Anolis sagrei: one gene and its partners. The protein of the gene in region 4 interacts with the protein of the main gene of each other region in a pairwise test. Links are inferred from orthologs where the notes say so. Each region holds a gene or a part of one and is shown on either strand. Other genes may lie near its edges.

Region 1 (6,737 bases), on a different chromosome or scaffold from region 4:
GATCGGGCCACGTTTCGCCGCCTTCGTGCCTTGTTGAAGGCGAATGCAATTAACGGAGAGGCCCAACTTTCACCGCTTAACTGTGTTTATTATAGAGTAGCGTGGCAAGAAAAAGCTTCGTGAGTGGAGGGATAAATAGAGAGGGACCTTCCTTCTCTCCCCCCCCCCCCGCTCCCCGCAACCGATTTACTCCGGATTTATCCCTCCATCATGGTGTGAAGAGCGACAATCTTGCTTCCTCCCCTTTCCTTCCAAGATATTTTTGGGAGGGGGAGGGAAGGACGTTCCCGAGTGTTTAGGCGAAAGTATAAACAACATCCAAGTTAAATATAGTGTCTGGACAATTACAACGTGTCTGTCTTTGGGGTTTTTTGTTTTTGGTTGGGGGGGGGGTCTATTTCTTCTCCTTCACGTCTTTACAGCGCCAGTAAACAAAAATCAAGTGAGAGAATTGGGCATTTCTTGTCTGAATCAACACATCTCGGGATAATAACAAAGTCTTGGGGTAATAATAAAGTCTACCCTCCGAAAAATCCAATTAATTGTTCCTATTAACGGCTGGGTACCCGCTTTCCTTTTTGGGGGGCCTTGGAAGGGCTTTGTTTTTCCCTGGGACGCTCTTTTGGGCCGTGGGGGCGGGCAGCGGATCGGCCAGGAGGGGGCGCGCCAGGCCCGTCCCTCGAGTCTCTCCCCCGGCGCTCAGAGTCCAGGGCGCCCTGCCTGGCGTCTAGGGCTCCTTCCCTTTTGTGTCTCTCTCTCCCTCCCTCCCATAGAAATCACTTTCCAACCGCTTTCCCCCTCCCTTTGGGAGCGAGAGAGGGAGAGGGGACGAGATTCGATGGAGAGTTTTGAAACGCTGTCAATACTCCCCCCCCCCTTCCCTCTTCCATTTGGAAGGCCTCTTCAACCTCTCCAAACGCCATCAAAATTTCTAATCGGCTCCCAAAGCCTTTCCATCTATCTTTTCTCTCTCTCTCTCTCTCTCTCTCTCCCCCCCCCCCCCAAGCCATTCGAGTTTGAAGTTGAAACAAACTTAAAGCAGGACTAGGGGCCCTTCCACACAGCCCTATATCCCAGGACTTCAAGGCAGAAAATCCCACAATATCTGCTTTGGACTGGGTTATCTGAGTCCACACTCATTTAATGTGGGGTTTTCTGCCTTGATATTCTGGGCTATGGGGCTGTGTGGAAAGGGCCCTGAATGTGGACTCAGCTAGCCCACTTCAAAGCAGATATTGTGGGATTTTCTGACTTGATATTCTGAGATATAGGGCTGTCTGGAAGGGACCTGAGTGTAGACTCAACTAGCCCAGTTCAAAGCCGGAATTGTGGGATTTTCTGACTTGATATTCTGGGATATGGGGCTGTGTGGAAAGGGCCCTGAGTGAGGACTCAGCTAGCTCAGTTCAAAAAGATATTGTGGGGTTTTTGACTTGATATTCTGAGATATAGGGCTGTCTGGAAGGGCCCTGTGGACTCAGCTAGCCCACTTCAAAGCAGATATTGTGGGATTTTCTGACTTGATATTCTGAGATACAGGGCTGTCTGGAAGGGCCCTGAGTGTAGACTCAGCTAACCCAGTTCAAAGCAGGAATTGTGGGATTTTCTGCCTTGATATTCTGGGCTGTGTAGAAGGGGCCTGGGTTGTTGTGAGTTTTCCGGGCTGTCTGGCTATGTTCCAGAAGCATTCTCTCCTGACTTTTCGCCTGCATCTATGGCAGGCATCCCCAGAGGTCGTGACGTTTCGCCCGCCATAGATGCAAGCGAAAGGTCAGGAGATAATGCTTCTGGAACATGGCCAAACAGTCCGGAAAACTCACAACAACTAAGTGATTCCGTCCATGAAACCCTCCGACAATACATTAAAGCAGGACTAACGGACCGAGGAAGGAAAGGGGGGGGGGGGAAACATCCTGGCTTCGTTACTCAGGGGTAAGGGGGTGCTTTTTGAGCAGGTGGGCTTGCGGGGTCTTTCCTCACTCGCCCGCCCTTCCCAAAACACAAATGTGGCTGGCAGCATCTGCTTGGAAAATTTTAAATAAGTGAAAAATAAGGGCAGAAGAGTGGGACCCTTTCCCCCGAATTTGCAACAAAACTGAAAGCCACTAGTGATTGCCGAATTTTTCAGGACTTTTTTTTTGTGTCAGGAGCAACTTGGGAAACTACAAGTCGCTTCTGATGTGAGAAAATTGGCCGTCTGCAAGGACATTGCCCAGGGGGCGCCAGGATATTCTGATGTTTTACCATTCTTGTGGGAAGTTTTTCTCATGTCCCCGCACGGGGAGCTGGAGCTGACAGAGGGAGCTCATCCACCCTCTCCCCAGATTCGAACCTCTGACCTGTCGGTCTTCAGTCCTGCCGGCACAAGGGCTGAGGGGGGAAAGGAAGCCTGAGGCTGTTAGGAATGGTGGGAGTTGAAGTCCAAAACACCTGGAGGGGCCAAGTTTGCCCGTGCCTACTGTAAATGCACCCTGAGCTGTATGTCTAATATCTAGCAATAATCCACAGAATAGAAGAGTTCCTCTGCCTCCTCGCCTTTCCTGGCTCCTACCTCTCTTCACCCCCAAAAACAAGGGCTCAGGGAGGGAACATGGATGTGTGTGCCTGTGCCCCCTCTTCTCCTTGTTATTTATTATTATCACCATAATTATTATTAGTATCCTGCCTTTGTCTCTAGATTGGGGTGGAAAGTGGTTCACAACATTTTTTTTAAAAAGTGCTATTTCATATCTTTAACATACAAGTATTAAAATAGAATTAAACAACCAAATCGATTAAAATTCTTTAAAAGACTTAATGAGTGCTAAAATAATCCCATGCCTTGCAGCTACCCCCCTGGCTCCCTCTCCAGAACCTCTTTCTTTTAAAAGCCTACTTGTTCTTGGACCTGTGCACCTGCTTCCTAGGGCTGTTTGAGGAGGGAAATAATGGCACCTTTTTAAAATACTTTTTTTAAATAGTTGGGGGAAATGTGAAGGGAGGAGGTTGCTGGAGCTGGAAGGGTTTCTGGCTGGAAAAAAGGAGATTCTGTGACTCTGAAGCACTGAGATGGTATCTGTGTGTGTGTGTGTTTGCACTGAATCCCTCCTCCATGTGAGGAAGAAAATGTTGAAGGGGGTAGAGAAAGGCTTTTAATTATTTCATGGAGGGCTGTGTGATAATCTGGAGGAAAGGCTATCCCTAAACTGGTTGAGGAGGCCCAGTTTGGGAAGAAGAGGAGGCTTGGTGGCATCTGCCCCTCTTATGGTTGACTTCCCAGGGACTGTTCTGCTAACATCAGGTCCTTTTAAGAAGCCCGGTGAGGACTAGGAGGATGGACCAAGGATCTTCTCGCTGAGCTGAAAGTTTGAGGCAATAGCCAAGGAGAGAGTTTCCTTCTTGCCAAGGGACACTTGTCTGAGAAGGCCAGGGCAGGTTTGGGGTGGGCCTGAGGCCTTTCTTTCCAGGTTGACTTCCCAGGGACTGTTCTGCTAACAAACAGGTCCTCAAGAGGGCCTTTTAAGAAGCCCAGTGGAGACCAGGAGGGTGGACCAAGGGTCTCCTCCGCTGATCTGAGAGTTTGGGGCAAAAACCATGGAGAGAGTTTCCTTCTTGCCAAGGGACCCTTGTCTGAGAAGTCAGGGCAGGTTTGAGGTGAACCCGAGGCCTTTCTTTCCAGGTTGACTTCCCAGGGACTATTCTGCTAACAACCAGGTCCTCAAGAAGCCTTTTTAGGAAGCTCAGTGAGAACCAGTAGGGTGGACCACGGGTCTCCCTGGCTGAGCTGAGAGTTTGGGACAAAAGCCAAGGAGAGAGTTTCCTTCTTGCCAAGGGACCCTTGTCTGAGAAGGCCAGGGCAGGTTTGGGGTGGGCCCGAGGCCTTTCTTTCCAGGCTGAAAGCAGCAAGGCAAGTGGGTTGTGGAGCTCTCACTTGCTGCTTTCAGCCTGGGAAGAAAAGCCCAACAACCGCGGAGGGTGGAAGAGCCCACGCGCGTCCACAGGGAGAAGTGGGGCCAAGAAGGCTCCCTCCCTCTCTGGGCCTGGCTTAAAAGAGAAGAGTAGGGGGGAGCCAAGGGGCAACCTCCCTTTCCTCCTCTCTAGCCCGCACTCAAGTGAAGCCGTTGCCGTTGTTTGTTGTTGTTGTTGTTGAACGCGTCCACACGGCCGTTTGCGCGCTCCCTCCTTCCCCCCTCCCTCCCCGAGGCGTGTGTGTGACCTGTTGCTTTGCAAAGAGGAGCTCGGAGGGGCCCTTTTGAGTGGCAGCCTCCATGTCCCGCCTCCCCGCCCTGAAGCCGCTCACGGCTGGATACTAGTGTGTGTGTGTATGGGGGGGGGGGGGGGAGCAGTGAGTGAGTGAGAGAAGCCCCGCCCCCTTTCATGCAAAACTCCCATCCGAGGCCGGCGCTCAGTGGAGGAGCCGGGCGAGCTCTGATTGGCCGAGGCGAAGGCATTTATTCCCTGACAAGCCCCCCATCACATGGATGGTTGTCTATTAACTTGTTCAAAAAAGTATCAGGAGTTGTCAAGGCAGAGAGAGAGAGAGAGAGAGAGAGAGAGAAAGGCGAGGAGAGAGAGAGAGAGAAAGAAAGAAAGAGTTTGGGAAGAAAGAAAGAAAACAAAACAAAACAAAACAGGGGGAAACAGAGACTTTTCCCCCCCATTTTCCTCCCTTTGCGGGCTCTTTAAGACTTAAGAGCTCCCGAAAGAAAGAAAGGAAGAAAGAAAGAAGGAAAGGAAGGAAGGAAGGAAAAAAAGGGGGCGCCGAGTGAAGAGAAAGAATAGGGGAGACGGAAGAAGAAGAAGTTTTCTCCAGCAGGACTTTCTCCCAGGCGCCTTTGTTATGATTCTCCTGGAGTAGCCTGAGAGTAGCCACCCGAAGAAGGAAGGAAGGAAGGAAAGAAGGAAGGAAGGAAGGCCGCTGTTGGCAGAGAGAGAGAGAGGAAGAGGAAGAGAAGAGGAAGAGGCTGGTCGGTGAAGGGAGGCTCTGCTGCTTGGGGGGGCAGCCTCTCCTTCCCTCCCTCCGACCCTCCCTCCCCAGCAGCCCGACTTCTGACTTTTCCTGCCTTGTGGGCTTCCTTCCTTGACTGTGTGCTTGGCTGCCCCTCTGCCCGCTTCCCCTCCTCGTCGTTCCCCTCCTTGGGGTGTTGGGCCTCTTCTCCCCTTGGCCGCCATGTACAACATGATGGAGACGGAGCTGAAGGCCGCGGCCCCGCAGGCGACGGCCACGGCGGGCGGCGGTGGCGGCGGCGGGAACAACGGCGTGTCCGGCGGCGCCAACAGCCAGAAGAACAGCCCGGACCGGGTGAAGCGCCCCATGAACGCCTTCATGGTGTGGTCCCGCGGGCAGCGGCGGAAGATGGCGCAGGAGAACCCCAAGATGCACAACTCGGAGATCTCCAAGCGGCTGGGCGCGGAGTGGAAGCTGCTCTCGGAGGCGGAGAAGCGGCCCTTCATCGACGAGGCCAAGCGGCTGCGCGCCCTGCACATGAAGGAGCACCCGGATTATAAATACCGCCCGCGGCGGAAGACCAAGACGCTGCTCAAGAAGGACAAGTACACGCTGCCGGGCGGGCTGCTGGCGGCGGCGGCGGGCTCGGGCGGGCTGGGCGGCGGGGTGGGCGTCGCGGGCTCGGCGCTGGGGCCCGGCGGGTGCGCCCAGCAGCGCATGGACGGCTACGCGGCGCACATGAACGGCTGGTCCAACGGCGGCTACGGGATGATGCAGGAGCAGCTGGGCTACTCGCAGCACCCGGGGCTCAACGCCCACGCCGCCGCCGCCGCCGCCGCCGCGCAGATGCAGCCCATGCACCGCTACGACGTGAGCGCCCTCCAGCAGTACGGCGCCCAGCCCTACATGAACGGCTCGCCGGGCTACGGCGCCATGCCCACCGCCGCCTCCTACGCCCAGCAAGGCGGCTCCTCCGCGCCCCCCGGGGCCATGCCGCTCTCCGCCATGGGGCCCGTGGTCAAGAGCGAGGCCAGCTCCTCCAGCCCCCCCGTGGGCAGCGCCTCCGCCCACGCGCGCGCCCCCTGCCAGGCCGGGGACCTCCGGGACATGATCAGCATGTACCTCCCCGCCGCCGAGGCGCCCGAGCCCGGCAGCGCCAGCAGACTCCACCTGGGGCCCCACTACCAGGGCGCCGGGGGGCCCGGGGCCGCCCTCAACGGCACGCTCCCGCTCTCCCACATGTGAGCCTCCCATGCCCCCCACTCACCCACCCACCCCCACGCTCCCCTCCCGGGGCGGACGGATGGACGGACCAAGCGGGGTGCAGACTCTCCGTGAACTCCTTCCCCGCGCCTCCGCCCCGCTATTTTTGTACAGAGAAGGAACTGGACAGGGCCCCAAAGACTCGCCGGGGAGGGGAGGGAGGGGAGGGGGTCTAGAGAGAGGAAGAGAGGGAGAGAAATAGAGGGAGCTCTCCCTCCCCCTCTCTCTCCAGCCGTCGGGCCAAGGCCCCGTCTCCACTGGCCAGGGAATGAATGCGCCCCCACTTTGGTGTCATCCAACTCCTTTCCTAGGTCTGCTTCACCTGCACAGGGAAACTCTTCCTTCAAGACCGGTTCGAAGTGGCATTCAGTGGTCAATGCAGATGGGTTTTTTTTCCCCTGACCCAAAATATGTTTGTTTTATTTCCCTATCCTTCCTTCCTTCTTTCCTTCCTTCCTTCCTTTCCCAGGTTCCAACGCCCCACTCACTCAGTGCTTGGTGTCATCAGACTGCTTCCTATGTATCAGGCATGGGCAAACTTGAGCCT
Region 2 (7,629 bases), on a different chromosome or scaffold from region 4:
ACAAACGCAATGCGCACCCTCATTTTGGGAAGCTAATATAGCCCCAAAAGGTGAGCACTGGATTCAAGTAAATAGCGTAATTTCAGCCCCTTGCGACCAACAAGTTGTACAGGCTTGATATACATTTGCAAAGCAGCTTCACAAGCAAGGTGCTACCAACCTCATGCAAGTCAGGGAGCTCTTCCCGGGCCTTGTGATACTCGTCCACGCACTCCAGGCAATAGCAGAGGTCATCGTTGGCAGCTGCAAAGTCCGAGGAGGACGAGGCATAGCTCCGTAGGAGCTGCACGGCCCTAGCGCCCCCCGGGGTGCACCAGCAGCAGGTACTCATTCTGCAGGGAGAGAAACACAAGGAAGAAGAAACGCAACACCACAGGACTCAACAAATGCTAAGTCAAAGGGAAATCCCCACAACTGGCCATCCCTGAGTTACAGACATCCAACTTGCAATGACTTGCAGTTAACAACAATGGGATTGAGACCACAAGAAGTAAGAGGAATCTTATCTTAAATATAAATAGTATTTGTATTATTAATTATATTATTATAAGGCAAAGGTTGTCCCCTGACATTAAGTCCAGTCGTGTCTGACTCTGGAGGTTGGTGCTCATCTCCATTTCTAAGCCGAAGAGCCGGCGTTGTCCATAGACACCTCCAAGGCCATGTGGCCATTGGCATGACTGCATGGAGCGCCATTACCTTCCCGCTGGAGCGGTACCTATTGATCTACTCACATTTGCATGTTTTCGAACTGCTAGGTTGGTCAACAAGCTCAGCAGTTCAGCGCTTTAACCCACTGTGCCACAGTTATATATATATAACATTATAAAATATATGTGTGTGTGTGTGTATATATATATATAGATATAACATTATACAATATATATATTATATAATAATATAATATATATTATAATGTATATCATTATATTACATCTTAGTAACATTATAATTATATTAGATATGTTATTATATATCATTAGTATCATATTATATGCATTACTGTTATATATATATATATATATATATGTATACAGGCTGTTCCCAAGTTACAGACACCCGACCTGCAGCGACTTAAAGTTAAGAACTACGGGCTGAGACCACAGGAAGTGAAAAGAATCTTATATTATAATATGGAAATATATTGTTGTTGTTCATTCGTCTCCAACTCTTCGTGACCTCATGGACCAGCCCACGCCAGAGCTCCCTGTTGGCCGTCACCACCCCCAGCTCCTTAAAGGTCAGTCCAGTCACTTCAAGGATGCCATCCATCCATCTTGCCCTTGGTCGGCCCCTCTTCCTTTTGCCTTCCACTTTCCCCAGCATCATTGTCTTCTCCAGGCTTTGCTGTCTCCTCATGATGTGGCCAAAGTACTTCAACTTTGTCTCTAGTATCCTTCCCTCCAGTGAGCAGCCGGGCTTTATTTCCTGGAGGATGGACTGGTTGGATCTTCTCGCAGTCCAAGGCACTCTCAGCACTTTCCTCCAGCACCACAGCTCAAAAGCATCGATCTTCCTTCGCTCAGCCTTCCCTAAGGTCCAGCTCTCACATCCGTAGGTGACTACAGGGAATACCATGGCTTTGACTAGGCGGATCTTTGTTGCCAGTGTGATGTCTCTACTCTTTACTATTTTATCGAGACTGGACATTGCTCTCCTCCCAAGAAGGAAGCGTCTTCTGATTTCCTGGCCTCAGTCTGCATCTGCAGTCATCTTTGCACCTAGAAATACAAAGTCTGTCACGGCCTCCACATTTTCTCCCTCTATTTCCCAGTTGTCAATCATTCTTGTTGCCATAATCTTGGTTTTTTTTATGTTTAGCTGCAACCCAGCTTTTGCGCTTTCTTCTTTCACCTTGATTAGAAGGCTCCTCAGCTCCTCCTCGCTTTCGGCCATCAGAGTGGTGTCATCTGCATATCTGAGGTTGTTAATGTTTCTTCCAGCAATCTTAACCCCAGCCTTGCATGCATCAAGCCCTGCACATCCCATGATGTGTTCTGCATGCAAGTTAATAAGGTTGGGTGAGAGTATGCAGCCTTGCTGTACGCCTTTCCCAATCTTGAACCAGTCTGTTGTTCCGTGGTCAGTTCTGACTGTTGCTACTTGGTCCTTGTACAGATTCCTCAGGAGAGACACAAGGTGGCTTGGGATGCCCATCCCACCAAGAACTTGCCACAATTTATATATAATATATTAATAATATCTATTCTAATAATAGGAAACCTTTTTCCTAGTTCCAACAGACCTCACTACCTCTGAGGATGCTTGCCACAGATGCAGGTGAAACGTCAGGAGAGAATGCCTCTAGACCATGGCCTGAAAAAACCTACAACAACCCACTGCTCTAGAGGCCTTAGATCAGTGGTTTTCAACTTGAGGTCCCCAGTTGTTTTAGGCCTACAACTCTCAGAAACCCCAGCCACTTTACCAGCTGTTGGGATTTCTGGGAGTTGAAAGCCAAAAAGATAATTAGAATCATAGATTAATGGAGTTGGAAGAGACCACGTGGGCCAGCTAGTCCAACCCCATTCTGCCCTGCAGGGAAAGCACAATCAAAGTCTCCCTGACAGATGGCCGCCCAGCCTCTGTTGAAAAGTCTCCAAGGAAGGAGCTTCCACCAGACTCTGAGGCAGAGAATAGATGATATAATTATGCTCCTGAGGATCCCTTCTGCCTTTCCCTTCCTGGCCTTTGGGCGAGAACAGCCTGCGCCTTTAAAAGGGAGGCCCATTGGAGTCGGAGGCCCTTTAATGCCTCCGGAAGGGCTGTCCCTAGGCCGCGGCCTTCCTTCCTCGCCGTGAGGCCCCGCTCACCTCCTTCTCCTCCGCCGCCTTCTCCTTCTCCTCCTCCCGGGGTCTTCGGCCTCCCTCCTCCAGCCATGAATTTCCGCTCGGGCCTCTACTCCTCCTCCTCCTCCTTCCCTCAGGGCACCCTCTCCGCTCGCGAAGAAACCGGCACTTCCGACTCTGGCGACCCCGCCGCGCCTGCGCAGTCCGCCTTGCCTCTCCGCCTCTCCCAAGATGGCGGCCCGCCTCACTTGAGGAAAGGAGCGCCGGAAGCGGAAGTGACTTTGGAAGGAGGTCTCAAAAGGAGGCTGAGAGGAAGCGGGAGACTTCGGTGGTGAGATGGAGAGAGAGAGAGAGGGATATAGAGAGAGAGAGAGAGAGAGAGAATTAGATAGATACAGAGAGAGAGAGAGACATAGATAGAGAGACATAGAGAGAGTGATAGAGATAGAGATATATATATAGAGAGAGAGACAGAGAGAGTGATAGATAGAGAGAGAGAGAGACATAGAGAGACAGATAGAGAGAGAGAGAAAGAGAGAGAGAGACATAGAGAGAGTGATAAAGAGATAGAGAGAGACATAGATATAGAGTTATATATATAGAGAGAGAGAGACAGATAGAGAGAGACATAGAGAGAGAGAGAGAGACAGAGAGAGAGACATAGATATAGATATATATATAGAGAGAGACACAGATAGAGAGAGAGACAGATAGAGACATAGAGAGATAGAGATATATATAGAGAAAGAGAGAGACATAGAGAGAGAGAGAGACAGATAGAGAGACATAGATATAGAGTTATATATAGAGAGAGAGAGACAGAGAGAGAGACATAGATATAGAGATAGATATATATATAGAGAGAGAGACACAGATAGAGAGAGAGACATAGAGTGATAGAGAGAGAGAGACAGATAGAGAGACATAGATATAGAGATATATATATAGAGAGAGAGACAAATAGAGAGAGAGAGACATAGAGAGAGAGATATATATAGAGAGATAGAGAGAGAGAGACATAGAGAGAGAGACATAGATATAGATATATATATAGAGAGAGAGAGAGAGAGAGAGACATAGAGAGAGGGAGAGAGAAACATAGATATAGAGAGATATATAGAGAGAGAGACAACCGCCCTGAGTCGCCTTCGGGTTGAAATGGGCAGGATAGAAATAATGTAAATAAATAAATAAATATACAAAATGTTTGTACTATGTATTGTGATATATGTATAGTATGCAATGTATTGTTTATGGTATTTTATATCTTACATAATATCTTACGTATATATTCCATATTATGAAATACATTGCCTTATATTATCTTTATCATTATTATTCTTAACTTTGTTTATACCCCACCTTTCCCCCCATGGGGACACTCTCTCTCTCTCTCTCTCTCTCTCTCTATATATATATATATAATCAATTGATTTCCAAGGATTGGGTTATCAAATCCTTAGAAAGTCTCTCCTAACGTCAAGCTAACATTACCTGTGTGAGACTGAACCTCTTGTTTCCTTTTTAAGAAGCAATGAGCGACGGAGCAGAGGATTTGTGCGCAGACAGCCTTCCACTCTTCGTTTCCCCAAAGAAGAAGAAGAAGAAGAAAAGGAAATTGGAGGAATTGAACGGAGAGGAAGAAGCAGAAGAGCGTTGGGTGAATCCTGCTGAAGATGCAGAGAATGATCGGACATCCAAGAGGAAGAAGGACTCCCAATGGGTCGTCAAAGAGAGCGACTTAGAGAGCGAAATGGGAATACATCCCAAGAGAAAGAAAAAGAAGAAGCACCGATCAAAGGAACAAGACGTTGAGCATATAGTCCCGGAAACACCAGAAGAAATCTTGGATCATTTGGAAGATGCGGATTGTGAAGTTCGTCCCAAGAAGAAGAAAAAGAAAGCAGCAAAAGAATCATTAGAAGACGGCGAAGGCCTTTCCATAGACAAGGTTGGCTTTGCAAGGGATGCAAAGGAACTTGTTATGCCTTCAGACATTGAAGACGTTTTGCAGAATGGGGCGGAAACCACGCTTTCTGCACCAAGGAAACCCCACAAAAAGCATAAGAAGCATAAAAAGCATCGATCTTCTTCCCCCAATGCATTTGACGACAACCCAGAAATGGCTAAAGATGGAGAACAGGACCAGTCCAAGCGACATCCTGCGTAAGTATTCGATCCTTGCGCATTTTCATCTTTGCAGTATTTCACACCTTTGAAACCGTTCAGATAATGCTTTTTTTCTAGGCAGCCTCCAACTTGTGTTCCAATGTTGGGCACTTACTACAGTGTTCCCTCACTTATCGCGGGTGTACCGTTCCAGGACCACCCGCGAAAAGTGAAAATCCACAAAGTAGGGACGCAATCCGAGGGTGAGTCAGAAGCGAGGAGAGATTTAACAGCACTGCATACCTTTTTTTTTTACTAGCCATAAGGAAGGGGCCATAATATAATATAATATGATATAATATAATATAATATAATATAATATAATATATATGCATATATTTATAATATTATAATGTAATACAATATAATAGTAAAAATAATACTATGATATTATAATTAAATATTTTATATTACATGCAATGTTACTAATAATATTACAATATAATGGTATAGTACAATATAGTAATATATAATACTGATATTGTACTATGCTAATAATATAATATATATATTGTACGTATATATGTATATCTTGTAAACCACTCTGATTTATTGGCAGTGAGAAGGACGGCATATAAATGTTGTAAATAAATAAATAAATAAGGCATACTGCTTTGTATCTCCTCTCTCTCTTTTTTATGGTTGGCTGCCTCTCTCCTGAGGGGGAGGGGGAAACCCCCTTCCACACTCCATCGTTGCCAGGAGGCAAAACCCCGCAAAACAGCGAGTCTGTGAAAAGCGAACCGCGAAGTAGCGAGGGAACTGTATATTTTCTTAGATTATTATTATTATTATTATTATTATTACTAATCTTATTATTTAATTATTATTATATTTTCTCAGATTATTGTTATTATGTTTACTAGTAGCTTGGGTACCCTGCAATGCCCGGGTTGTTTGAAAAAGGCCTTGTTTGTTTTGCTTTAGCTGAGAATTTCTTATCTTTTTCTCTCGGAGTCTAGCAGATCACCAAAGCCACTATTCGGCACTCCTGTTTTGACTGATCTCTTCCCGTCTATCTATTTGCTCATTAATTTCTGCAGCTGGGCCAGATGCCGAGCTGTTTTCATGTTCCCTATCATGGGAACTCTCTGGTAACAATTCAGAGAGCACACCATCATCCCCACACCCCTCAGGGACATTCTCATGGGAAACTACACTTTGCACAGGGGTCTCCTTGTCATTCTCTGCATCAATATCCCTGGCCAAACCATTGCCACCTTGAAACTCATTAACATCACTCCCCACATCCAAAGCACCCTGATCCTGAAGCACAATCACAAAGGGCAGTCAACCACAAACCCTGCCAGTATGCCAGTATGTATGTCATGTTGGGTCTGTGTGCCAAGTTTGGTCTACATCCAATGTTGGCTGAGTTTGGTGTTGATAACCCAGGAGCACAAAACGTGTCTAATGCCTTGTGTCCCTCTCTTCTGTCTGCCCTGTTTCAGTGCATCTCTAGGTAAACAAGGGCCTCTTCCTCCGTCCTCGGAGCCTCTGGAGCTGGACAACGAGTTCTTTGATTCTCCGGACGTTGTATCGCCGGACCTGGAGAGCCTCACTCGGGAGCTGGAGGAGTTCATTCCGGACATCCGGCGGCGCCCCGAAGAGTTCATCCGCCAGCTGGCGCGCAGGGATCTCCTCCGCTTCAGGAACTTCAAGAAGCAAGGTAAACGAGTGTCTTTGTCGAGGGTCCTGTGGGATATTTGGGGCTGAAACATGTGGGGAAACCAAACAGCCTTCTTTCCCTGGCGCAGGGATTGCGTTGAAGTTTGGGAAGTTCTCCCGGGGGGAGAATGCACTGCTGCGCCGGAACGTGGAGGCCTTTCTGGAGGAAAGCGGCATTGACTCCGCTGAGAAGCTGCTCTTCACCCACCGCTTCCCCGAAGAGAAGGACACTCTCAAGAAGCTCAAGGCACGGCATTTGTTCGGACTCAAGATCGGTAAGCTTACAACTAGTTTCCAAACCCTTAATCAGTACTTACTACTTACTTACTTAGGCGACCCCTCATTTTCCGAGGAGGATTGTCTTCCAGTATTCTTGTGGGTCCGTATGTGGCTGTGGAGCCCTATTCTTGCTCTGCATCTTCTTCCGCAGTGAGGGCATTGGTTTCCAGGTGGAAGGCGGTCTCGGTCGGGGTTGGCTTGACGCGCATTCCTCTTGGCACGCTTCTCCCTTTCGCCCTCCATTCGTGCCTCTTCAAATTCTGCAGCACTGCTGGTCACAGCTGACTTCCAGCTAGAGCGCTCAAGGGCCAGGGCTTCCCAGTTCTCAGTGTCTATGCCAGAGTTTTTAAGGTTGGCTTTGAGCCCATCTTTAAATCTCTTTTCCTGTCCACCGACATTCCGTTTTCTGTTCTTAAGTTCAGAGTAGAGCAACTGCTTTGGGAGACGGTGGTCGGGCATCCGGACAATGTGGCCGGTCCAGCGGAGTTGGTGGTGGAGGACCATCGCTTCAATGCTGGTGGTCTTTGCTTCTTCCAGCACGCTGACATTTGTCCCCATGACGATGCTTAGGATTATTACCATCTTGACTCAACTCTCATTCGCCACTGAATCTAATGCACAATCTAATAGAGCTCGAGATAAAAATAAGTAAGAGGCAGATAAAAATATAATAATAACATTATTAATAATAATAATTAAGAGGCAGGTAAGAAATAAAATAACA
Region 3 (7,519 bases), on a different chromosome or scaffold from region 4:
CATCTCCATTGCAAGCTCCATTGTTAGGAATGAGAGAGCAGACATTCTTTCATAGGGCCCTTCCACACAGCCATATAACCCAGAATAACAAGGCATTTGAACTGGATTATCTGAGTCCACACTGCCATATAATCCAGTTCAATAGGAATTTTATAGGTTCTTAATTTATAGTATATGTTATTGTCTAGAAATTATGGTTTGGTTTTCACATGTATGTACAGCATTAAATTTGGCCACTGTTATATTGGAAACTGCTTTGAGTCCCCTCAGCCCAATAAATGAATACATATAAGGTGTTTTTATTTTGGGGGGGGGTAGTTTTATAGGTTTTTGAGATTGTTTTATCCATTATTTCTGACTGGATTCGTTGTTTGTCTGTCTTGGCACTGAATGTTTGCCAATTGGGTTACAAACAAGATATTGTTATTATTATATTACTAGCCGTCCCATGCCACGCATTGCTGTGGCCCAGTCTGTGTATGTGTTTTGTGTGTGTATATGTGTTTATGAGTATTTGCCTATATATATGTGGTTCTGCGCATGTGTTGTAATGTATTTTTTGCGTTTTGGCTTTAAAAGTCTCTTCTGCTGTGTTTTTCAGTGTTTTTATGAGTGATGGTCACTCATTGGCCTGACAGGTGTATTGTGTTTAAATTTGGTGTCAATTCGTCCAGTGGTTTTTGAGTTATGTTAATCCCACAAACGAACATTTTATTTTTATTTATATAGATTATTATAATAATTATAATAATAATTGTGGGTGGGATTATGAGGGGGATGGTGAGTTTCAAATGCAATTTTAATTGTGTTTAAACTTTAAAAGTAAGCACACATATGCCTTTTTTCTTTTAAAAATTGTATTTGTTTTGCATTATGGTTTTATTATTATGAACCACCTTGGGCTCTCCGATCCTCTGGGGAGGCCCTGCTCTCGCCACTGCCAGTGTCACAAGCTCGCCTGGTAAGTACAAGGGAGAGAGCCTTTTCTGCTGTGGCTCCCTGACTCTGGAACTCATTACCTGGAGAAATTAGGAAAGCCCCTTCTCTAGACGTTTTTTAAAAAAACCTTAAAACCTGACTCTTCCGCTGTGCCTTTGATGAGTAGGTATACAATTTCACATGACTGTTTTTAGCCTCAAAGTTCTGTCATTGGAGTAGACTTCCCCCCCCCCCTCGTGGGAAAGCCTGACTCCACAACCCCCATCATAATGACCCCTCCTCCGCAAATTATCTGCTTCTCTCTTTTATCTTGTCTGAGTTTTTAATTAGATGTAATCAGTTTGTCTTTTAATAATTACATGTAGCCCGCCTTCTGTAACTGTGCCTGTGTCTATTGTAATTTTTACATTGTTATTGTTCTGGAACGGCTGTTCCAGGGACTCCAATTTTGTGCTTTGCACTGAGTGTTTGGTCATAGTCCTAAGTTGCAGGGACTTTGCAGATAGGTAGTTTCCTTTGGCTGCATTCATAGGGCAAGCCACCTGTCAATTATAGTTAGGATCCCTGGTCCCGCCCCTCTCTGGGTTTTTTGGAGGGAAGGGGCCATTTTTCAGTTAGTCTCAGTAAAGGAAGTCAATGCAGAGGATGTATACAGACGTCCTCCTATACAAAGGCTTAGTCCCTTAAGACTTCCCGGGGGAGAACAGTCTTAAGAGCCTCTAAAGATTCCCAAAGGTTCCGGGGAAACAGCCTTACAGCCCTGAGGAATTCCAGAGGGAATAACAGCTCTAATCGTCAAGATCTCCAGCTAAGTGACTACAGGCCTGCTGGTACGTCTGCTCGGTTCTGAGACATTCAGCCGGTAGTGGATTCAAATCAGTCAGGTTTAGGTTCACAGCAGCCTGGGAGGAGCTAGAAAGGGGAATTTTCCTTTGAACAAAGTTATTGAAGATAGTGCCTGTTCCCTGTGGACAAGTTTGAGAGAACGGGCTTTTGCCAAGAAAGCTTTACAATTCCTGTTTGTTCATCAATAAAAGACTGTTATATTTAAGCTCAAGCCTCCTAAAGACTGTTTAATGAGGGAAAATTCTCTAAAGGCTTCTTTTCGGGCCCTCTAGCTTCCCGCTGGGATTCAAGCCATGTATCCTCTCTTAAAGGCACTTCATTTCAGGTCCAGCGGCGACAGAACAGTTATGTATCCACATGTTTTATGTATTTATTATGTTATTGTTTATCGTTCACGTTTTCGGTTGTATATTGGTTTTTCTTTATTGTAATTGTTGTTCGGGCTTGGCCCCATGTAAGCCGCTCCGAGTCCGCATTGGGGAGATGGTGGCGAAGTATGAATAAAGATTATTATTATTATTATCAGCCGCCTTGAGTCCCGACGAGATGTAAACAATCATAATAATGTTGTATCTATATTTGCAAATACTTATTTAAGGTATATAGCAGGCATGGGGAAACTTTCCCTCCAGGTGTTTTGGACTCCAACTCCCACAATTCCGAATTGTGGGAGTTGCAGTCCAAAACACCTGGAGGGCCGAAGTTTCCCCATGCCTGCTTTACAGTCTGAAGGGACAGTGCCTTCAGGAATGGGCAGAACAAGGCTACTCTTTCTACCCCACAGAAATGCCCAATGCACTCCAACTGTGGTGTTGCGTTTGATATCTCCATGTCCCCCCATTTTCCTGAGGCGAGCGGCCCCAACAGGGCGGGCTTCTGCTTGGGGAAGAAGGGAAGTGCCCTGGAGAGGGCCAGGAGGCAGAAGGGCTCCCCCACAGTAGGGCTAACACGGAGGCCCATACACACGTCCCCCTCATACACGTGGCAGCCCACTCAGGGCTCACGCTGCTACTCACTAGCGCTGCCTGCTGCGACCAGGAAGCCCCTCGCGACCGGAACCAGCGTCGCCGTCAGCGCCTTCCCCCGCCCCTCACGTCGGGCTGCGCTTCCGCCCGCTGAGAGACGCAAGAAACCCCACGCCGCGCGCCTGAGGAGGCGCGTGCCTTGCACTGCGCATGCGCTTAGGTAGAGAAGCCGGGAGACGAGAGCGCAAGCCCGTTGAACTCACAAGGAGCGCGCGGAGGCAGGCAGGGAGGGGGCGGGGCGGAGGACAAAGCCTCAAAGCGTGCGCGCAGCTGTGCCGGCGCCTGATAGGTCTGTTCCGAAGGTGGGCGGGGCGAAGGGGGAAAAAGAGCCGCCTTCGGGTGTTGAAACTACAAAAAGGAGAGCTGATCAATGATGTCACTTCCGGGAGCTTCCAGATCTGTACCAGGTTATATGGGAACATTGGCCTTTTATGTCAACCTTCATCCTCCAAGTTTAGGACTTCAACTCCCAGAAGTCCCAGCCAGTTTGGCCAACAGTCAGGAATTCTGGGAGCTGAAAACCAAAACATTTGGAGGACCAAAGGTTAGGAAACGCTGCCCTACATTGAAGGGCATAGTATCCATTTGTGGCCTACTTTGCTCACCTTACACGCATCAGTCCTTTTATACTCTGAGGTCAGGAATCTGTGCCCTCTATATAAATAAAAATGTAATGTTTGTTTGTGGGATTAACATAACTCAAAACAACCAATGGACATTTTGATGAATGACAGACAAACTGAATACCAAGAGACCACCCTTGGGCAGACCTCATATTTGATGGGAGAAACCAATGGTTAAGCTATTTGGCCAGAAATGGAAAAGAGAAGCAAAGGATTGTATATTTTGGCAAATGGTCGATTTGTAAAGGAATGGATCAACAACAAATAGCATAGGATAATTATAATTAATAATTTATTGTTGTGGTTAATAATAATAAATGTTACTTCCCTCTCCTTAGGGCTTGGGTATATGGTGAACTACTGTCTACAGCAGGGGTCCTCAAACTAAGGCCCAAGGGCCGGATGCGGCCCTCCAAGGTCATTTACCCGGCCCTCGCTCAGGGTCAACCTAAGTTGATGTGAGGGTGATCTGGCTGCGACATCTGTCACCCCATTGATCGCCAGGGTTGATTCGGCTGATCTGGCTAGCTAGGCGGGTGTCCCCTTCCTCCCTCACCACTCCAAGATCATTTACCTGGTCCTCACTAAGGGTCAACCTAAGTCTGAAATGACTTGAAAGCACACAACAACAACAACAATCCTATCTCATCAGCCAAAAGCAGGCCCACACTTCCCATTGAAATACTAATAAATGTATATATGTTAAAATTGTTCTTCATTTCAATTCTTGTATTGTTTTTAAGTGTTTTTTGCACTACAAATAAGGTATGTGCAGTGTGCATAGGAATTCATTCATGCTTTTTTTCAAATTTTAATCCGGCCCTCCAACAGTTTGAGGGACTGTGACCTGGCCCTCTGTTTAAAAAGTTTGAGGACCCCTGGTCTACAGTATGTTCCAAGTTTTCCTTCACCTGACATCACAATGACATGATGTGTCAAACAGGGATGCGTTAATTGCTTCAACCTTGTTTTCCACATTCATGGCTATGATTGTGCACCTTGTTAACTGAAAGTTTTCCATCGATGAAGTAATCACCTATGAGACTCATGGCAACTCTTTAGCCTCAGCAGACTGAAAACAAAAAATAAGGTCACAAAAGCTCGTTATACAACTTCAGTATGATGATGATAATGTAGTCTGTGCTCATTCAGAGGAAGACCTACAAACCACTTTAAACACATTTGCAGAAGCATATGAAAAGCTTGCCTCTCATTGAACATCAAGAAAAACAAAGTGCTCTATCACAACCAATCCCTCTGCAATTCCAGAAATAAAGCTTATTTATTCATGACCTCATGGACCAGCCCACGCCAGAGCTGTCAACCGTGGCTACTCCCAGTTCTTTCAAAGTCAAAACAGTCACTTCAAGGATACCATCCATCCATCTTGCCTTTGGTCTGCCCCTCTTGCTTTGTCCTTCTATTTTCCCCAGCATCATTGTCTTCTCCAAGCTTTCCTGTCTTCTCATTATGTGGCCAAAGTACTTCATCTTGGCCTCTACTATCCTTTCCTCCAGTGAGCAGGATAATAAATAAATAATTACAAATAAGTAACTACTTAACTCAGAGCTTTTCAAACATTTCATATTAGTGACACACTTTATAGACATACATCATTTTGCAGCACAGTAATTCTGTTTTACTAGCAAACTGGAGGTTAAATCAACCCCTTATGAGAGATACAGACACATACATGAATTGTCATAACAAAAAGTATGGGGACCCAACATACCTAACGAAAGCCTATCATTATTCCCTTCACATCGGTTCAGAGGTTTATTTGTTATGTTTATAAGGCATGTGGTGGTGCAGTGGGTTAAACCATTAAGCGCAGAACTTGTTGACCAGAAGGTCAGTGGTTCGAACCCTTGGGACAGAGTGAGCTCCTTTCATTAGTCCCAGTTTCTGCCAACCTAGCAGTTTGAAAACATGTAAGCTTGAATAGATCAATAGATACCATCTCGGTCGGAAGGTAACGGCACTCCATGCAGTCATGCTGACCACATGACTTAAGAGGCATCTACGGACAATGCTGGCTCTTTGGCATAGAAATGAAGATGAGCATCACCCCCCAGAGTTGAAGTCAACTAGACTTAATGTCAAGGAGAAACCTTTACCTTGTGTGGCACACATACACAATGAAGCTAACACACAAATGTGTCACAACACCATTTAGAAAACTTAATTCACTCCTTTTCTCCAGTAATTAAGGCGGAACTATGTTCTATCCTACTTACTTACTTAGGCGATCCCTCGTTGGACAAGTAGATGGTCTTCCATGATGGGTTTCCTTGTGGAGCTGTGGAGCCCTATTCTTGACCCGCATCTTCTCCCACAGTGAAGGCATTGGTTTCCAGGTGGAAGGTGGTCCCGGTCGGGGTTGTCTTGACACACCTTCCTCCTGGCACGTTTCTCTCTTTCACCCTCGTACCTCCTCGTGCCTTCTCGAATTCTGCAGCACTGCTGGTCACAGCTGACCTCCAGCTGGAGCGCTCAAGGGCCAGGGCTTCCCAGTTCTCAGTGTCTATGCCAGAGATTTTAAGGTTGGCTTTCAGGCCATCTTTAAATCTCTTTTCCTGTCTACCAACGTTCCGTTTTCTGTTCTTAAGTTCAGAGTAGAGCAACTGCTTTGGGAGATGGTGGTCGGGCATCCGGACAACGTGGCCGGCCCAGCAGAGTTGATGGAGTCTATCCTAATTTATGTAGGGATAAGGTACACATCACATCTTTGACAATACAACTGTAACTTTTTTTAAAAAAAGAAAATAAACTTAGCAGTGTGGACTATGAATTAAAGCCCAGAGTTTGCTGATACCTTTATTGGTCCACCAAAGCATCATTTGAAGTATTCATATCCTTTAGAACTTTTCATTACATAATCTGGAATGGTTGTGTTAAAGTTGGGGGATTTAACCTCGCCAAATGGCAGAGAGCAATATGACCTGGTTTGTCATATTATCTCGTGTTACATCTTCTTCTTCTTCTTCTTATTCTTATTATTATTATTATTATTTTGTGGGTACTGAGATAGAGGGGGTGAGAAATTTGCAACATCACAACCCAACAGCTTGAGGAATTCAGAATGTTTTAATGTAACCAAAAGTAAGTATTTTAATCATTTTGAGATGTGTGAAAGCATTTGTTATAAACACTGTATCTAGATTGGTAACTAAATAGGGATCGTGAAACTAAATGCTTTGGGAAAGTAACTTTCCAAGATCTGAGAAGACAAATTCTTTTTTTTTTTAAAAAAAAATCATGCTTAATGTAGTTGTTTATTTTCACATTAATCCTAATTCTTCAAATTGCCCTAAATCTTTTTGTCTTGATTGTGCTTTGCTTCCTTCATTCTCATTCGCATTCTCATTTTAAAGAAGAATGTCCCTTAAGGAACATTCACCAAAAGAACATATGAATGGCTGACTTATGTAATGCTTTGACATTTGGCATTCCCATGGTATTATCCCACACCATCACTGCAGAATAAGCTGTCAGAGCATGAAATTGGTATTTTTACATATTCTTAATGTACAGATGTCAGTCTGAAAACCATTCACTGGGGTTAAGATTATATTCTTTGTTTCACTCTATTCATATGCGCAAATCTGTTGGGTGATTTCTTTCTTTCTTTCCTTTTTAGAGAGACAAACCTTGGAGAAAGAATTTAAATTAATAGCTCCAGCAAAACAGCCCCAGCAAACTATAAGGCACGGTTTGATGATGAATGCAAGATAGACAATATAAATCCATGGCTGCAGTATTCTCTTTTTAGCACCTGTGTTTCTGGCACACTAGCAAAAAGTGAACAGGAGCCAAATGCAAATTGGAAATATAATCAGTGACCCATTTTCTGGGGCCCAGTTTATCAGCATATTCCACATCAAATGTGTTCACGGTGTACAGGTGTGCTATTCTGTATTAATTACCTTGAAAGAATAGACCATAGGGAAGAGTTGGAATTCCTTAAAAAATAATGTTTGTATTGTGGTTGGAGTGGGCTAGAGAGACTTTGAAAAATGTTTCCATATAAGGATGCAAGTTAATTTGGGTTTCTTTGGAACAATAATAAACATCCTGAGATACTTA
Region 4 (7,871 bases):
CCAGTCTGTGCATGTGTTTTTTTGTGTATGTGTATATATTTGTGTATATGTGTACTTAGGTGGTTATGTGCATGTGTTGTGATATGTATTTTTATTTTATTTATTTTTTTGCTTTTAATGTCTTTTCCACTGTGTTTTTCAGTGTTTTTATGAGTGATGGTCACTCATAAAAACAGTTTGAGGGACTGTGACCTGGCCCTCTGTTTAAAAAGTTTGAGGAGCCCTGGGTTAAATCCTTGTGTTAGCAAGACTACTAATCGAAAGATCATCGGTTCAAACCCGGGGAGCGGGGTGAGCTCCCATCAGCTGCACCTTCTCATGCAGGGACATGAGAGAAGCTTCCCACAGGATGGTAAAACACCAGGGCATCCCCTGGGCAACATCCTTGCAGAGGGCCACCAGAAGCAACTTGCAGTTTCTCAAGTCCTGACATCAAAAAATGTAATGTAATATTATTATTATTATTATTATTATTATTTTGGTAGTACTGAAATTAGTGTATGTCTTACAATCAATGGCACCTCAGAATCAAAGAAATACAGTAATCCTCCAATCAGAAAAGTTAACAACTAGAAACATAAGGGCAAGCATCTGGTACCAACAGTAAGCATTACCCAACTTCTGGTTCTTTTTTAAAAGAAAGCCGGGTGCCTTGGGTTGCTCATAGAAGCCAATGGTAAAATGGTATAAACTTCTCTGAAAAGCTGAAAATATGCCAAATAAATATGTACTTAAGTTTCCATCTGGTATTAAGAAACCAGGTAGAAACCTTTTACACGATACCCTGCTATGGAAAATCCTGGCAGGCATAATGCATATGTATTTAATCATGAAAAAATTAAACACAAATAAGAACTTGCAAACCTGCATATTGGAGTTGAGATGTTGTCACTGCAGTTAATGCAGCATATATTCAGAAGCTTTGCTTCCAGTTGTTTTGTTTGTTGTTTTGTTTCCCTACTGCTTTGATGGTCTTTTGCATCTTCTGAAGTATCTTGACTATCAGCTACAAAAGTTGCTCTGAGAATTATAAGAGCTGTTAACTTCAGAATCAAAATACAATAATAAAAACTAAGGATCAACTCACTAGTGCGATGTAAATATAGTACGTTACCCGTACTTCAAATCTGCCACTTGCAATGAGAAGTAAATTAAAAGTTGCAAGGTTGAATTAGAGGACAATAAAGGTGGACAAAAGAAAAATTGTAATTAATAGTAATGATGGAAGACAAAAGATTTGTAGCATTTGGAAGAATTGCTTTTACAGAATTCATACTAAATCTAGATACAGAAACAGAACCATTGTGTTCAGAAACTATAGTATGGATATGAGACTTGAGTCCCTTCTACACTACCAAATACAATCCAGATTATCTGCTTTGAAGTCATTTCAGACTTAGATTGACCCTGATCGAGGGCCGGGTAAATAATCTTGGAGAGCCATATCCGGCCACCGGTCCTTAGTTTGAGGACCCCTGATCTGGATTATATGGCAGTGTTGAAGGGGTTTCCTATAATCCAGTTCAATGCAGATAACGTGGATTATCTGATATGATAATCTGGATTATATGGCAGGGTAGAAGGGGCCTTCTATAATCCAGCTCAAAGTGGAAAATCTGCTTCAATAATATGAAGTGTCGGCTTTGACAATCTAGGTCGCGGTCCTCAAACTATAGCCCAGGGGCCGGATGCGGCCCTCCAAGGTCATTTATCCGGCCCTTGCTCAGGGTCAACCTAAGTCTGAAATGACTTGAAAGCACACAACAACAACAACAGCAACAGCAACAATCCTATCTCATCAGCCAAAAGCAGGCCCACACTTTCCACTGAAATACTAAGAAGTTTATATTTGTTAAAATTGTTCATTTTAATTGTATTGTTTTTAAGTGTTTTTTGCACTACAAATAAGGTATGTGCAGTGTGTATAGAAATTCATTCATTTTTTTAAAAATTATAATCTGGCCTTCCAACAGTTTGAGGGACTGTGACCTGGCCCTCTGTTTAAAAAGTTTGAGGACCCCTGATCTAGATTATAGTACAGTGTAGAATGGGCATCCTATTATGCAGTTCAAAGCAGATAATCTGGATTATGTGGAAGGGGGGTTCCTATAATCCAACTCAAAGCAGACAATGTGGATTATTATCTGCTTTGATAATCTGGGGGCCCTTCCACATCGCGGTATAAAATCCACAATGAACTGGATTATATAGCAGTGTGGACTCAGATAACTCGGTTCAAATCAGATTTTGTGGATTACCTGCCATGATGTTTTGTGTCATGTGGCTGTGTGGAAAGGCCTTGGATTATATGGCAGTGTAGATCCAGTCTAGATGGGGGTCTAAGACTAAAAAAAAAACACCCCCTAAACGCAGGCCTATGTCATCCTCTTTCGTTTCCGGCGCTGAGACAAGTAAACAAACAGACCCAACTCGTGCACTGCGGTCTGGGTGTATTGGCAAGTAAACAAAACAAGGCCCAGGAGGAAGACTTCGGCCTCCTTTTCCATTCACTCCAAGTCCAGATCATCCCCGCAAAGGAAGGAAGGAAGGAAGGAAGAGGGAGAAGGGGTGGGATCCTTGAAAGGGAAGCCGAGAGGAAGGCTCTTCTGAAGCCAAGCCTCGCAGGGAAGAGGAGGGAAGGCAGGCAAGGCAAGGAATGGTGGGTTGGCCTTCCCCATCTTGGCTGGATCCTGCACTGCCGAGAACGGCATGGCCTGGAGTCGCGGCGGTGCGGATCCCGCCTTTGTTTTCCCCGAGGGGAGCCGCGGAAACAGGCCTCCCGGGGCCGGCGGGCAAGGCGTCCTCCTACCGTGTCCGACATCCTGATGGGTGGCGGGCTCAGGCAGGCAGGCAGCCGCCCTCCTCCTCCTCCTCGCCGCGTCCCCTCTCCACCTCCTGCCTTGCCCCGAGAGAGAGACCCCTAGGCGCCTTCCCTCCTGCCTTCCTCCTCCTCCTCCTCCTCCTCCTCCAAACGCGGAGCCAGCAAGAGAGGCGAGAGCGCAGGGCAAGGAGGGGGCGGGACTTCCTCTCTGCCGCCTGAGCTCACTTCCTACACGCGCAGAGGGAGGAAGGGAGGGGAAGCAAGCAAAACAGGCCGAGAAGGGGCCCTTCCACACAGCCCTAGAGCCCAAATTATCAAAGCAGGAAATCCCACATCATCTGAGTGTGGACTATGGGCCCTTCCCTACAGCCCTATAGCCCAGAATATCAAGGCAGGCAATCCCACATCATCTGAATGTGGACTAAAGGCCCTTCCCCACAGCCCTATAGCCCAGAATATCAAGGAAGGCAATCCCACACCATCTGAATGTGGACTAAGGGCCCTTCCACACAACCCTATAGCCCAGAATAGCATGGCAGGGAATCCCACATCACCTGAGTGTGGACTCAGGGCCCTTCCACACAGCCCTAGAGCCCAGAATATCAAGGCAGGAAATCCCACATCATCTGAGTGTGGACTCAGGGCCCTTCCCCATAGCCCTGTAGCCCAAAATATCAAGGCAGACAATGCCACGTCATCTGAGTGTAGACTCAGGGCCCTTCCACACAGCCCTATAGCCCAGGATATCAAGGCAGGGAATCCCACATCATCTGAGTGTAGACTCAGGGCCCTTCCACACAGCCCCATAGCCCAGAATATCAAGGCAGGGAATCCCACATCATCTGAGTGTAGACTCGGGGCCCTTCCACACAGCCCCATAGCCCAGAATATCAAGGCAGGGAATCCCACATCATCTGAGTGTAGACTCGGGGCCCTTCCACACAGCCCTATAGCCCAGAATAGCATGGCAGACAATGTATCTGAGTATGGACTCAGAGCCCTTCCTCACAGCCCTACAGCCCAAATTATCAAAGCAGGAAATCCCACATCATCTGAGTGTGGACTATGGGCCCTTCCCCACAGCCCTAGAGCCCAGAATAGCATGGTAGGGAATCCCACATCATCTGAGTGTGGACTCAGGGCCCTTCCACACAGCCCTATAGCCCAAAATATCAAGGCAGGGAATCCCACATCATCTGAGTGTGGACTCAGGGCACTTCCACACACCCTATAGCCCAGACTATCAAGGCAGACAATGCACCTGAGTGTGGACTCAAGAGCCCTTCCACACAGCCCTATATCCCAGAATATCTTCTTAGGCGATCCCTCGTCGGCGGAGTAGGATAGTCCTCCAGGATCAGAATTCTTGTGAGTCTGTAGGTGACTTGCGAACACTACTTTACCCACAATATCTGGGAATCGCCAGAAGGCTAAACGGAGGGCTGCACAAACACAACAAGGACCAAGTACCCAAAGCACAATAATCCCAATTAAACAGCTCAGGGGAAGATCTCAGGGGCTCACATGTCTTTACACTAATGCACAGAGCATGGGAAATAAACAAGACGAACTCCAACTTTTAGCACAACACCACAAATATGATATCATAGGGATCACTGAAACCTGGTGGGATGACTCCTATCGCTGGAATGTAGATATCGAGGGGTATAACCTCTTTCACAGAAACCGAACAAAGGGGAGAGGAGGCGGAGTAGCCTTATATGTCAAAAACTCTTATGCTACAGAAGAGATTCAAGACAGCAATCTGGGAAACCAGCTTGAAATCATCTGGATAAGAATCAAGGGAACTGGGACTCAAAAAGATGTCGTTGTAGGCGTCTACTACAGACCCCCAAGCCAGGAGGAAGAACTTGATGAAGTCTTCTGCCAACAGTTGACCAAACAGGCACAGAGAAGAGATGTAGTAGTCATGGGCGATTTCAACTATCCCGATATTTGCTGGAAAACAAACTCGGCCAAGAGTACAAGGTCCAACAAATTCCTCGCTTGCCTTGCAGACAATTTCATGGTCCAGAAGGTAGAAGAAGCAACAAGGGGATTGACTACTCTTGATCTCATCTTAACAAATGCGGAGGACCTGATCGATGCGGTCGAAGTGGTAGGATCCTTAGGGGCAAGTGACCATGTGCTCCTGCAATTTGAGGTACAAAGGAAGGCCGAAACTAAGACAAGTCAAACCCGCATTTTGGACTTTAGGAGAGCTGATTTCCAAAAAATGAAGGAAACGCTGAGCAGCATTCCGTGGACACAGATACTAAAAGACAAGGGAGTTACGGATGGATGGGAATTTCTCAAGAGTGAAATACTCAAGGCGCAATTGCAAACTGTGCCAACAAAGAGAAAAAATAGGACAAGTGCAAAGAAGCCAGAATGGATGTCCAAAGAACTTCTAACTGTGCTAAGACACAAAAGAGACATGCACAAGAAGTGGAAAAAGGGAGAAATCACCAAAGAAGAATTCAAACAAATAGCCAACACCTGTAGGGAAAAGGTCCGCAAGGCTAAAGCAAAAAACGAGCTCAGACTTGCCAGGGACATTAAAAACAATAAAAAGGGCTTCTATTCTTATGTCAGTAGAAAAAGGAAAAACAAGGAGGCGGTAGGACCTCTTCGAGGAGAAGATGGGGCAATGCTGACAGGGGATAGGGAAAAGGCAGAACTACTTAATGCCTTCTTTGCCTCGGTCTTCTCACAAAAAGAGAGTCTTCAACCTCAGCAAGATGGAGTGGATGAGGGTTTGGAGGACATCCAACCCCAAATTGGGAAAGAAGTCGTTCAGGAATACCTGGCCGCTCTTAATGAGTTCAAGTCCCCAGGGCCAGATCAACTACACCCCAGAGTATTGAAGGAACTAGCGGAAGTCATTTCGGAACCATTGGCAACCATCTTTGAGAGTTCTTGGAGAACGGGAGAAGTTCCAGCAGATTGGAGGAGGGCCAATGTGGTCCCAATCTTCAAGAAGGGAAAAAAGGATGACCCAAACAACTACCGTCCGGTCAGCCTCACGTCGATACCGGGCAAGATTCTGGAAAAGATTGTTAAGGAAGTGGTCTGCAAACACTTAGAAACAAATGCGGTCATCGCTAATAGTCAACATGGATTTATCAAAAACAAGTCATGTCAGACTAATCTGATCTCTTTCTTCGATAGAACTACAAGCTGGGTAGACGCAGGGAATGCCGTGGATGTAGCGTACCTGGATTTCAGTAAGGCCTTCGACAAGGTCCCCCATGACCTTCTGGCAAGGAAACTAGTCCAATGTGGGCTAGGCAAAACTACGGTGAGGTGGATCTGGAATTGGTTAAGTGGACGAACACAGAGAGTGCTCACTAATGCTTCCTCTTCATCTTGGAAAGAAGTGACAAGTGGAGTGCCGCAGGGTTCCGTCCTGGGCCCGGTCCTGTTCAACATCTTTATTAATGACTTAGATGAAGGGCTAGAAGGCATGATCATCAAGTTTGCAGACGACACCAAATTGGGAGGGATAGCCAATAGTCCAGAGGACAGGAGCAGAATTCAAAACGATCTTGACAGATTAGAGAGATGGGCCAAAACTAACAAAATGAAGTTCAACAGTGACAAATGCAAGATACTCCACTTTGGCAGAAAAAACGAAATGCAAAGATACAGAATGGGTGACGCCTGGCTCGAGAGCAGTACGTGTGAAAAAGATCTTGGAGTCCTCGTGGACAACAAGTTAAACATGAGCCAACAATGTGACGTGGCGGCAAAAAAAGCCAATGGGATTTTGGCCTGCATCAAGAGGAGCATAGTGTCTAGATCTAAGGAAGTAATGCTACCCCTCTATTCTGCTTTGGTTAGACCACACCTGGAATATTGTGTCCAATTCTGGGCGCCACAATTCAAGAGAGATATTGACAAGCTGGAATGTGTCCAGAGGAGGGCGACTAAAATGATCAAGGGTCTGGAGAACAAGCCCTATGAGGAGCGGCTTAGGGAACTGGGCATGTTTAGCCTGAAGAAGAGAAGGCTGAGAGGAGATATGATAGCCATGTATAAATATGTGAGAGGAAGCCACAGGGAGGAGGGAGCAAGCTTGTTTTCTGCTTCCTTGGAGACTAGGACGCGGAACAATGGCTTCAAACTACAAGAGAGGAGATTCCATCTGAACATGAGGAAGAACCTCCTGACTGTGAGAGCCGTTCAGCAGTGGAACTCTCTGCCCCGGAGTGTGGTGGAGGCTCCTTCTTTGGAAGCTTTTAAACAGAGGCTGGATGGCCATCTGTCAGGGGTGATTTGAATGCAATATTCCTGCTTCTTGGCAGGGGGTTGGACTGGATGGCCCATGAGGTCTCTTCCAACTCTTTGATTCTATGATTCTATGATTCTATGACTGTGGAGCCCTATTCTTGACCTGTATCTTCTCCCGCAGTGAGGGCATTGGTTTCCAGGTGGAAGGTGGTCCCAGTCGGGGTTGGCTTGACGCGCCTTCCTCTTGGCACGTTTCTCTCTTTCGCCCTCCATTCGTGCCTCTTCAAATTTTACAGCATTGCTGGTCACAGCTGACCTCCAGCTGGAGCGCTCAAGGGCCAGGGCTTCCCAGTTCTCAGTGTCTATGCCAGAGTTTTAAAGTTGGCTTTGAGCCCATCTTTAAATCTCTTTTCCTGTCCACCGACATTCCGTTTTCCATTCTTGAGTTTGGAGAAGAGCAACTGCTTTGGGAGATGGTGGTCGGGCATCCGGACAACGTGGCCGGTCCAGCGGAGTTGATGGCAGAGGACCATCACTCCAATGCTGGTGGTCTTTGCTCCTTCCAGCACGCTGACGTTTGTCTGCTTGTCTTCCCAAGAGATGTGCAGGATTTTCTGGAGGCAGCACTGATGGAATTGTTCCAGGAGTTGCATGTGACGTCTGTAGACAGTCCAGGTTTCACAGGCATATAGCAGAGTTGGGAGGACAATAGCTTTATAGATAAGCACCTTGGTATCCCTATGGATGTCCCAGTCCTCAAACACTCTCTGCTTCATTCGGAAGAATGCTGCACTCGCAGAGCTCAGGCAGTGTTTTA

Evidence for each region.
Region 1: the proteins of SUMO1 (region 4) and SOX2 interact in binary tests that used the Homo sapiens proteins (3 or more experiments, as listed by UniProt). The two-hybrid records come from large-scale screens. The link is inferred for Anolis sagrei from reciprocal best matches to the Homo sapiens genes SUMO1 and SOX2.
Region 2: the proteins of SUMO1 (region 4) and SETX interact in a two-hybrid assay, tested with the Homo sapiens proteins (2 studies listed by BioGRID and IntAct). The link is inferred for Anolis sagrei from reciprocal best matches to the Homo sapiens genes SUMO1 and SETX.
Region 3: the proteins of SUMO1 (region 4) and ZCCHC7 interact in binary tests that used the Homo sapiens proteins (3 or more experiments, as listed by UniProt). The link is inferred for Anolis sagrei from reciprocal best matches to the Homo sapiens genes SUMO1 and ZCCHC7.

Annotation. Positions count from the first base shown.
Region 1 is NC_090023.1:258,757,056-258,763,792, forward strand, and holds SOX2 (transcription factor SOX-2), read left to right. Parts: upstream 1-4,387; 5' UTR 4,388-5,149; coding exon 5,150-6,172; 3' UTR 6,173-6,234; downstream 6,235-6,737. UniProt on the Homo sapiens protein: Transcription factor that forms a trimeric complex with OCT4 on DNA and controls the expression of a number of genes involved in embryonic development such as YES1, FGF4, UTF1 and ZFP206. Binds to the proximal enhancer region of NANOG.
Region 2 is NC_090031.1:18,074,824-18,082,452, forward strand, and holds the start of SETX (probable helicase senataxin), read right to left. Parts: upstream 3,007-7,629; 5' UTR 2,814-3,006; intron 333-2,813; 5' UTR 332-332; coding exon 161-331; intron 1-160. Other genes in the region: TTF1 (transcription termination factor 1), read left to right, coding at 4,324-4,955, 6,410-6,627, 6,716-6,901. UniProt on the Homo sapiens protein: Probable RNA/DNA helicase involved in diverse aspects of RNA metabolism and genomic integrity.
Region 3 is NC_090022.1:152,631,066-152,638,584, forward strand, and holds the start of ZCCHC7 (zinc finger CCHC domain-containing protein 7), read right to left. Parts: upstream 3,004-7,519; 5' UTR 2,802-3,003; intron 1-2,801.
Region 4 is NC_090021.1:165,250,698-165,258,568, forward strand, and holds the start of SUMO1 (small ubiquitin-related modifier 1), read right to left. Parts: upstream 3,016-7,871; 5' UTR 2,822-3,015; coding exon 2,810-2,821; intron 1-2,809. UniProt on the Homo sapiens protein: Ubiquitin-like protein that can be covalently attached to proteins as a monomer or a lysine-linked polymer.